3 linked regions of the Arabidopsis thaliana genome follow. The protein of the gene in region 2 interacts with the protein of the main gene of each other region in a pairwise test. Each region holds a gene or a part of one and is shown on either strand. Other genes may lie near its edges. The genes, in order: MYB72, NAP1;1 and IBH1.

Evidence for each region.
Region 1: the proteins of NAP1;1 (region 2) and MYB72 interact in binary tests that used the Arabidopsis thaliana proteins (3 or more experiments, as listed by UniProt).
Region 3: the proteins of NAP1;1 (region 2) and IBH1 interact in binary tests that used the Arabidopsis thaliana proteins (3 or more experiments, as listed by UniProt).

What each region holds. Positions count from the first base shown.
Region 1 is NC_003070.9:21,020,273-21,024,032, forward strand, and holds MYB72 (myb domain protein 72), read left to right. Parts: upstream 1-2,111; coding exon 2,112-2,250; intron 2,251-2,335; coding exon 2,336-2,465; intron 2,466-2,486; exon of another isoform or gene 2,487-2,550; coding exon 2,551-3,172; 3' UTR 3,173-3,315; downstream 3,316-3,760. UniProt on the Arabidopsis thaliana protein: Involved in metal ions homeostasis, including iron ions (Fe) acquisition, via the regulation of NAS4 and NAS2 genes expression. Necessary for plant survival in alkaline soil where iron availability is greatly restricted.
Region 2 is NC_003075.7:13,230,503-13,234,262, forward strand, and holds the start of NAP1;1 (nucleosome assembly protein1;1), read left to right. Parts: upstream 1-2,065; 5' UTR 2,066-2,209; coding exon 2,210-2,255; intron 2,256-2,377; coding exon 2,378-2,421; intron 2,422-2,616; coding exon 2,617-2,712; intron 2,713-2,872; coding exon 2,873-2,965; intron 2,966-3,117; coding exon 3,118-3,208; intron 3,209-3,301; coding exon 3,302-3,363; intron 3,364-3,452; coding exon 3,453-3,637; intron 3,638-3,760. Other genes in the region: CK1 (casein kinase 1), read right to left, coding at 1-6. UniProt on the Arabidopsis thaliana protein: May modulate chromatin structure by regulation of nucleosome assembly/disassembly. Contributes to the regulation of cell proliferation and cell expansion. May function in nucleotide excision repair (NER). Involved in somatic homologous recombination.
Region 3 is NC_003071.7:17,907,031-17,910,748, forward strand, and holds IBH1 (ILI1 binding bHLH 1), read left to right. Parts: upstream 1-1,976; 5' UTR 1,977-2,216; coding exon 2,217-2,687; 3' UTR 2,688-3,180; downstream 3,181-3,718.

The sequences.
Region 1 (3,760 bases), on a different chromosome or scaffold from region 2:
TCACAAGCTCTTAATTTCCTTTTTGTTTTGTTTACTTTTTAATGTGAATTAAGTCATACAAGTTGACCACTTCAAATAAACAAACTATTTCTATTGTATATATCTAGACGTATGTGATACATATATAATGTGATTGCCAATCATTACAAGTTTTTACTTAGACCCACACATGCTACGTCACGTTTTAAAACTTTACCTTATGTCCAATCTCTTTTATCGATATTTATTTCATATGTATGTATAAGATATTATATATATATATATAGGACCCTAATGTGTTTATAATATATATCCGTATACGTACGTACAAAAGAAGTACGTATGCTGATTTTGATTGGAAGTTGGGAATGGAAGCATGGATATTATTCGTACTTCCACACATTTTATTAGCACTTTAGATTACCTCATATTACATTTAACCTCACTAAAAGGTAAGAGTTACGAGACTCTTGCTTGCCTAACGTATGCTAAAAGGTATTCATGTATTATGTATTCATGTTTTTGTACATCATGCATTAAACCTATATAAAATTGCATACTTACGTATTTATATAAAGTAGATAGCATATGTATTATACGGATGGAATGATCATTAGTTTTTTTGCGCAATCTTACATCAGAGCCTTGTGGCGTGGATTTGAAGTCTAACCATGCCATGCCATATTTTAATTTATGGAAAACACCAATATATAATTTAATCATCACAACTTATAGTCTAAACAACTACAAAATTAATCATCATACATCATGATTTGGATGTACAACTTCGTGTTTAAACTTTTATTTTATTTTTCTCTTTCAAATAAGGAACTTTGCGTTCTGAAGTGGTGTTTTAAAGATAAGTCATTTATGAAGTCATTTATACGTTAGATATAAATATTTTGAAATTTTATGAAGTGGTGTTTTAAAGATAAGTCATTTATGTTCAGTTTAAAACGCAATGTCTATATATACCAGTATTCTCTAATTACTAATAGAAATGTGAACTTTCATTATTCTTTGTATTAAAACTTCATAGCAAAAAAAAGTAAATAATATTCCCTCCACATCAATTTAAGTGATGTTTTAAGGGTATTTTGTTCTTGATTCATTATAAGTGATGTTTTCAATTTGTTAATATCTTAATTTTTTTGGCTAATTATGTTTTACATCATGTTTTTGTTATTGTCTGAAAACTGAACTTAATGATGTTTTTATGTAAAAGAGATAAATTAAATGAATGTCTTGTGTTTTCTTAATTTATGCGTAAAAACCTTAAACATTAGATACAAAGTGATTAAGAAGTAAATAAAAGGAGTAAATAAGAGTAAACTTAGATGATGATGATGATGATGTGGGTTGAGTTTTATAAGAAATACGAAGACGAGTAAATAAGTTAATAGGCTAAAGAAAAGGATTATTGAATTCTCCTTCTGAACTAAATGTCAAATAATAAGTGTCAGGATTAATAAAAAATAAACTGATCTGAATTAATTAGGATTACAGTCTACAGATTTATTCTATTTATTTCTCCAATTGGTGTTACTTTTGTTTGTGGCATGGCCCTTGTGGTCTTTAACACACACGCACACAAACAACCGCTCTAAAGTTTACAATATACTAGATTTCTACTCGCTCATATCAAAATCTAAAGTCGAAAATCTTTTTGTATAAAATATTTAAAACTGAATAATCAAGAAATGTATCAAACTATTTAAATATTTCCGTGATGCTCAAATTAATATACATATTTTTCGTAACTCGTCAATGAATCATGCATAACTTGTTTACACAATTATACTTAATGGACACTATGATCTGTACACGGGCATATGAGTAACAAAAGAAATTTAAGAGATTACTAGTTAAAATCTGCCGTTAACTTCCGTACGTTCCATGCTTTTGGGTCTCTCTCTACGAGTGAAGTGCCTCAAATAAATAAGAGTTTTATTGAATGGAGTGGAAAATCTAATCTCTAACTAATAATTATAAAACATCTTCTGACGTAAAGAGCCGGGTTATATCAATGATATATATATAGGAGCTCCTGATAATAATCAAAAACATAACATTGCATATATAGAGAAAGATATAGTGAAGGTAGCTATAGAGAAGAAAGTAGTGTAATAAGAATGGGGAAAGGAAGAGCACCATGCTGCGACAAGAACAAAGTGAAGAGAGGGCCATGGAGCCCTCAAGAAGATCTCACTCTCATCACTTTTATTCAAAAACATGGCCATCAAAACTGGAGATCTCTTCCCAAGCTTGCTGGTTAGTATTTATTCACATGCATGTTTCGGTAATACTATAAAGTTTTAAATAACTAAGAGAAATAATGATTGATATATATACATAGGATTGTTGAGATGTGGGAAAAGTTGCCGACTAAGATGGATAAACTATCTGAGACCGGACGTGAAGCGAGGCAACTTTAGCAAAAAGGAGGAAGATGCTATCATTCACTACCATCAAACCCTTGGAAACAAGTTTGTACTCTACCTATTCATCTAATTTCTTTATAATAAGACAATATATAGTATGTAGAGACTAATTGATATATGTGATCATCAGGTGGTCAAAGATCGCGTCCTTCTTGCCGGGAAGAACTGACAACGAGATCAAAAACGTGTGGAACACGCATCTCAAGAAACGACTCACTCCATCTTCTTCTTCTTCATCCCTCTCTAGCACTCATGACCAAAGCACAAAAGCAGATCATGACAAGAACTGTGACGGGGCTCAAGAAGAAATACATTCAGGGTTAAATGAGAGCCAAAACTCAGCTACTTCGTCACATCACCAAGGCGAGTGTATGCACACAAAACCAGAGCTTCATGAGGTTAATGGACTCAACGAGATCCAGTTCCTGCTCGACCATGATGACTTTGATGATATAACCTCTGAGTTTCTTCAGGATAACGATATCTTATTTCCGCTAGACTCTCTTCTTCATAACCACCAAACTCACATTTCAACCCAAGAAATGACTCGAGAGGTAACCAAATCGCAATCATTTGATCATCCTCAACCGGATATCCCATGCGGATTTGAAGACACAAACGAAGAATCCGACTTGAGGAGACAGCTGGTTGAATCAACCACACCTAACAATGAGTACGACGAGTGGTTCAACTTCATTGACAACCAAACTTACTTTGATGATTTTAATTTCGTCGGAGAAGTATGTCTATGAATGTCAATAATATATGCATGACCAGTGTTGTATCCACTTTTGAATGTTGAGTAAATTACTATTTTACATGGATTGCCCATGCATTGAGAAGATGCTATGTTTTATGAGAGCTCTATGATATTGGTTCGTTTTTCGGCTAGATTCACACAAACAACTCTTCTCTTTTCCTTCTCGATCACTCTTATGGCTGCTCTCAGAGTCTCCGTTTTCAGAGGCCAAAACAGGTCGCAGGTTGATGGCTGGCAATGGCAGCATCGACTGCTTCCGGTGTGTCGAGATCAGGCGCCACACCAAGCATCAAGTCCTGAAATCGAATTAGGTGTGTGTAAGTTTCTTAGCCTAGATACAAACAACAAGAAATATGACTCCAACTGTACTCATCATTTCAATCACTTGATATTTGCTTCCTGTAAGGGCTTCAATGTCAAAAGCTTCTGAATTATCCTAAGTCCATACATATTTGAGAGACTGAGACGGTCTCAGTGAGACCAAACAGAAGAAGAAAAGAAAAGAAAAAAACAGAACAAATACTACAAAGAATACACAAACTTTTGATTCTTGCTCCAACCGTTTATTAAAGCACATGAC
Region 2 (3,760 bases):
TTCCATAAATAACCACGAAACCCCTTGTACAATCTTAACAACCCAGACGCAGATTCAAATAGAGCGAAAGGGACCCCAAAAACAATCCTGACTAGAATCAGCCGCACCAGCAATCCAGAAAAACAACCCAGAGATCACGAACAATGAGATTACGGATTTTTCGCCGACTAAATCAAAACCCAGTAATCATCTTCTTCGTGCTCTCGATCTGGTGAAAAAACTCCATATGAACAGAATGTCGTTTTCTGGGATGCTTCTCTCTCTCTCTCTCCTCTCAAGAATTGAATACGAAGATAAAAAAAAAAAAAAAAAAAAAGAGCTTCGATGGACAGAAAACGATGAGGATGTCTTTCTCAAAGTTTGCGTCTTTTTTTTTTTCCTCTTTCCTTGCAGTTGCGGGTAATGTAAAAAAATTATTTACCTCTGAATGATTCCGGTTTTGTTGCTGTGTGCTATGTTCGGTTTGGTTTCTATGCTTCGGTTCAACCAAACAATCTAATGATTATGGCAAGCAGAATAGTAAAATAGAAAAAATGTGTAAAACATCTATAGAACACATATGTATATACATGCTGAGCATCTTTAAATCCACAAAAATACTACTATTTGAGCCGAATCTACCAACTAAACTAAACCTGGTTTTAAAATTATCCGGTTTATTTGAGAGTTTCAACAACAAGCGCGCTTAGACCATCATTATTCATAGTTTATAAGGTTAGTTCTTAGATAAAGTAGGTCTTAAATTTAATGTTATAATTCAATTAATTGTTAAAAATGACTCTTATATAAGAGCCAAATCTAATGTTTCTTAGGTTAATTCTTAGATAAATTAGGTATTAAATATAATGTTTTAATTCAATTAATCTTAATTCTTAGATAAATTAAGTATTAAATCTAATTGTTTGTCATATTTGTTTAAAATTTTATGTTATGTATGTTTCAAATTTTTTGAGTTGTAATAATTATTAAGTTTTTTAAAATTATAATGTTTCTACTTTTTTTCCAATTTTTTTTTTAAGAACTCAAGTTAAGAGTCCACCATTGCATATTGCCAAAATTTCAATCTCTTAACTAAATTCTTAACTTCAAAATTTTCAAAATCAATTATAAAAATATTCATAAGAACTATTAAGATTATGCTAAGAAACTACTATTAATGATACTCTTATGATGGCTATATGATATAAAAAGATTGACCACTTACCAGGTGTGTTTGCTACGCGTGACTTGAAAGCTCTACAAAATGTTTCTCTTAAGTGGGAGTCGTGGAGGTACAAAAAGCTTTTCACCTTTGCTTTTAATAGGATGAATGAAATGATTTACAGTTATCTGATTAGGTTGAATTTGTCTCATGGTTTTCTGGTTAAAAAAAAATGCTACGCGTGAGGCTTCTTTATTGTGTTTCTGGTCAGACGTATAAAAGGTTGAAACTTCAAATTGAAAATGTCGTGATGAGCTAATCTAGATTAGAGTACGTTTAATTCGTTTGAACTCGGGATGAGCTTAAACCAAACTAAAGATCTTTGTGCCTTTTGGGATATGACTTTTTGTTGTGGACTGTTTTTTTGTTTTTGTTGTGGACTGTTTTTTGTTTTTAATTAGTATGTACAGTGTATGTGAACAAAAGAAGTAATCAGTGTATTGGGCTTGGAAGGCTCATTCTTGGGATGGGCCTTAGTACTAACAGATTCAGAAATCTTCTATTTGATCCCATTAAAGTTCACTAACCTGTACTGTATTTGGTGAAGAATCAAATATATATAAGTGTATATATATATATATAAGTATATAGATAATTAATATAATTACATGCAAAATTTTAATTATATAGATAATTAAAGTTTATATATTAGTTATATATATTTATAATTGATTGAATTCATAAATAAACTTTAATTATCTATATATAAGTCAGTTCTCATTATCCATATATATATGTATGTAAAGTTTTGCATGTTATTTAATTCAATAAACTTAATTTTGCTTTTTAAAACATTAAACATCAATTTTTAGAGAAAGAAAAGTATATATAAAAAGAGAAAAAACTAAAATGGCATTTGTTATAATTTTGGTGTGAAAAGGAGGGAGAGAAAAAAACAAAAAAACAAAGAGGATTTAAGGGTTACGAGTCGCCTCCCCAAAACCCTTGTCCCTAGTCTCTTCTGCTTCTTCTTCTTCAAAATCTCTCTCTTCACCAAATCCTCAGAAGATGAGCAACGACAAGGATAGCTTCAACGTCTCCGATCTTACTGCTGGTAAAATACTCCTACTCACGATTACTCTTATCTCTTTCTCCGCCTCTTAAGCCAGAGCTGCTTTAACCCTAATTTCCTCTGTTATCTGACTGGTGTTCCTTTTGTTTACTGTTTTTTTGCAGCTCTTAAGGACGAGGATCGAGCTGGCCTTGTCAATGCTCTAAAGGTGAGTTTTTTTCCCCTTCTGTAAACTGTCCCGTGAGCATTTGCTATTGAAAGATATGGAGGATGTTGAGTTACTTTCCTCTGATTGTTTAGATACTATAAGCCGTGTCTTGGTGTTTAGTGTTTTGGTTTCAATGTCATTCTTCTAGTACAATGATAGTTTATGAGTTGTTAATACATTGTTATTAATTCACAGAACAAGCTGCAGAATCTGGCTGGTCAGCGTTCTGATGTGCTCGAGAATCTGACTCCCAATGTGAGAAAGCGCGTTGATGCCTTGAGGGATATACAGGTTAGCGAAATTTCTTTCACATTTTACCAAACTATGTGTGCTATATATCGTTTAATGGGGTTTGTTTTGTTTTGTGTGAGTTTTCTCCCTGCTTATCTGAATTTAAAGTTTCAAAAGTAAGGTGTTGCGTTTTGATTACTGATGACTTCTTTCCACGCAGAGCCAACATGATGAACTAGAGGCAAAATTCCGTGAGGAGAGAGCTATTCTTGAAGCCAAGTATCAAACGCTGTATCAGCCTTTGTATGTCAAGGTAATTGTTAATGAGAAAGTTTTACAAACCATTTTACTAAACTCAATGTAGATCTGTGTATACTCTTTTTGCTTATGTTTACTTATCTGCAGCAGTGTTAGTTTTCTATGTGCATCTTAATGAATTCTACTTGGTATCTTGTAATGGCACAGCGTTATGAGATTGTGAATGGCACTACTGAAGTTGAACTGGCTCCAGAGGATGATACCAAGGTGGACCAAGGAGAGGAGAAAACTGCAGAAGGTAACTTCATGAGCACTATGTCTTCTTTGTTTGTTGTTAATCTTTTTGGAAAGACAAAAACAATTTAACATTTTTCTCTGTTTTTCATTGCAGAGAAAGGAGTTCCAAGTTTCTGGCTGACAGCTCTGAAAAATAACGATGTTATTTCCGAGGAGGTAGCCTATATGCAGTTTTGGTGTTCGTTTTATAAACACTCCAATCATAACCATGGAATATGAGCATAACTTATTGTCATTTATGTCAGGTCACAGAGCGTGATGAAGGGGCTCTCAAATATCTTAAAGATATTAAGTGGTGCAAGATTGAAGAGCCTAAAGGATTCAAACTTGAGTTTTTCTTTGACACGAATCCGTATTTTAAGAACACTGTCTTGACAAAGTCTTATCATATGATTGATGAAGATGAGCCACTGCTTGAGAAGGCTATGGGGTAACTACTTATACTCTCTTGCAATTGTTGTATACTTTTAAGTATATTCTGCTTATTAGCTGATTGCATTGAGCTGCTTATTTTTTTTCTTCGCTTATATTGCAAATGGATTCTTATTCTTTC
Region 3 (3,718 bases), on a different chromosome or scaffold from region 2:
TAGCATTTATTCTTTTGTTTTTGTTTTACATTTTTAGTTGGGATATTTTAATCAACTAGTATGATAAAGTTTATTCGCCCCCAACGACTTATTATTAAATTAAGAAGAGAATCAAAGAAAACGAATGGTGTAGTTAATATTAATTGAATAATTAGAACAAAAAAAAATTAAAGATAAAGATAAGAGAGAAAGGAAAGTGGAGGTGGGTAAAGGCCATAGCCATGTGCCTTCATGTGGTGGTTGGCCCATTAGTGGACCTACTCTACCACTTCTTCAACTCTTTTTTAGTTCTTATTATATGATTAACACCTTCTTATTCATTTGGTTTCACTCCTAATATCAACAATTTTGTAAATTGTTATTGACCCGAAATTGTTAATCTTTAAACGTATTTTTATGATAGATGTGAAATTTGAAACCTTAGAGAAAACAGTGAGATTTAAGGGATTTTGGAGCTGAATCTTGAAAAAAGATAAATATGATCATGATGATGTTATACAAAAGAATTAAATGGCGTGAAAAATACGTCCGGCGGCAAAGCGGTAGGGGAGAGAGTGATTAACACAAAAGAGATGGGACTAATGCTAAATTATAGCCTTAACCAAACACTTATCGTATTCCTCAAGTCTCTCTTCTCTTCTTTTATATTTTCATGTGTTGTCTTTTCTAAATTGGTTAGTAATATTTGGTGTATATAAATTGTAACGTCATCTATTGGTCAAGCCAATTGAATAATCTCATATTTTGTTGTTGCTCTCTTGCATGGTGAATACTTTGTTATATATCTGATCAATTTTAAACACGTTTTATCTTGATGATGCGAGTGGCTAATTGATTAAGTTTATTAACACTTTATATCGTCGAAATAATCATAGTTATTCTCAGGTTCAATGGTGTTACTTTCTAAACTAACGTATAGTTCAAACTCAGTTTCGAATAAACATCCTCAATCAGTCGTTTCACGAGAGTTGGATTTTGGCTGAATTTTGTTTGTGGAAGTAAATATCGAGCAAGTAATGAATCAATTAAATTGATATTTTGGGTTTTGTTATTTCTTTTGCCTTGAAAATGAGCTTATATGTTTTCCACAATCGATCATATTCCATCTTAATCGTCATTAGTTGTCAACTAATGTTAACATAAATACATACATATATGTATATAGCTTACCTAATTTTATCATAATAGTCTCTATTAGCTGTTCACGTTAATGAATTCATACGCATTCGTCACTAAATTAACCTTTTATAAAAACAAACAAATAAACATAATAGTGTGGTTGGAATCTAATTCCATAATCTGATGTCTGCTCTAAATTGCTCTTTTTTCCGTTAATACCAAGCTATGAACCAAACGAGCTTGATTAATTTGCGTCTAGTACTTAAACATCATCCGAATTATTATTTTGTTTTAGCTAAGATGTATACGAGCATTAATGCTATATATATTGTATTTGGGTGTAGTATACATTAATATTTCAAATTTCAAAATAGTCAAATATATATACCCAAAATAGCCAAGTTCTGTTAATCTATTGGCATCAACTTTTTTCTTCAAGCTCCAAAACATCGTTTTCCACTAATTGCCCATTTATTTATTCAAGACTTTATAACACTAGGTGTAAATTATACTTTTCCGAAATACATGGGTTATACAATTCACATTTCATTTTAAAATTCTAACACATAATGATATATTTACACATCTAAGTAGCCACCAGTAAGCAATCGATGTCAAACCACTAAACCATAACAGACGAATCTACAAAAAATTTGAACTAATATTAGTAAACCCCCAAAGTTAAACATAGAACTGTATTTATTTGCTGTTCACCATTGAAGAAAACTGCCACTTATAACTTCATATTCTCATATTTTTACGCAACGTAACTTTGACGGACCAATTAAGCTCCAAAATTCAATATTTCAAAGCTATTAACACATCTTTTTTTTTTTAGAACATGAGTTATAAATAGTTGAACCTATAGTTTAAATTTAAACTTTATAGAGAATTTGAATAGTTGTGTGTCTTGTGACATAAAAAAACATAAAGAAAAGTTAAGTACAAGGAAAAATAAACATTATTTATTCCTCTCTATCTCTCTCTCTCTCTCCACCTTTCCATTTATATTAACCCTAATATTGTGTCATTCTCAAAAAAAAAAAAGTTTTATAAAGGTTCTCAACTCAAGTTCTCTTCTCTAAAAAACCCAAACAATGGCCTCTGCAGACAAACTCATAAACACAGATGTCCCTGAAAAGGACGTTTTTGCCTTCCACTTCCTCCAATCCCTCTCAAATCTCAGAAAACAAAACCCTTTTGATACTCCGGACCAAAAAAACTACCGCGTGAGGAAGATCAAGAAGGCTGCGTACGTTTCCATGGCCAGAGCAGCCGGAGGGAGTAGCCGGCTATGGAGCAGAGCCCTCTTGCGTAGAGCAGACAAAGATGACAACAAGATCGTAAGATTTTCAAGGAGGAAGTGGAAGATATCATCAAAACGGAGGAGGAGTAACCAGAGAGCTCCGGTGGTGGAGGAGGCGGCGGAGAGGCTGAGGAATCTTGTTCCGGGAGGCGGAGGAATGGAGACGTCAAAGCTGATGGAAGAGACGGCTCATTACATCAAGTGCCTTAGTATGCAGGTCAAGGTCATGCAGTGTCTCGTTGATGGCTTATCTCCCAAATGATCATCAATTAATCATCAACATCATCATCAATGATCGATGTATATAGAGATACGACACATACATAGTCTATTGGATTGGGGTAATCATAACGAATATATATGTGTATATATATATATATATATATATATATATTCTTATATATATACATACGTGTAAGATAGGATACATATATGAAATGTGTGGATATGTATTAGTCTCGAAGTAACGAAAGATTTTTTTCTTTTTCTTTTCTTGAATTTTGATAAAAGGGGATTTATTATTTATCATATGCTATGGCCGGTTTAAACATTAGGGCTTGGTAACTTGCCCTTGTCATATGATAAAAGGGGATTTATTACTTATCATATGCTAAGAGAATTTTCTTTCTTCTTTTCTTTTAAGCTATGCAATTTACTTGGTTCCTCTTGATTGTGTTATTCGTCAATGATGTTTCTATGGATGGATTATATATATAAAGTTATAACATATTAGTTATAAGAAAATTATAGCGGAATTATAACTATCATAAAATATACATTCTGTATTTATATATCTCCTATACATATACGACTGTTTATGTTTTTGAGAAAATATATGATAAATCTAATAATTTTAAAAATATATATTTATAGAATTATGAATCATTTAATTAAATGATTTTTTTTTGTTTAACACGGAGTTACTTGAATAAGTCTTAAAAATACTTGACATTATATAGGTTAAAGAATTTTGTAGAATATATATAATTTAACTCCTTTTTTGTTTTGTATAACTCTTTTTTCAGGTAAGAGAGATTTTTTTTTTTGTATAACTCTAACATTTCATGATTTATGTCGGATTGAATTCAAATGGTCGCTCACAACAACATTATTAACAAAAATTACAAGACTCTGATTACTTGTTTTCTTTATAATCACATTTTCCGTTGGAAGGATTATCTACACGTCTTATTTATGCAGTTGGTCATACTTATATTTCATACGAGTGTCCTACTTTAATTTGTCAATTATTATACACGTGTACGTAAACAGACAAATTGGTCAATTCCACAT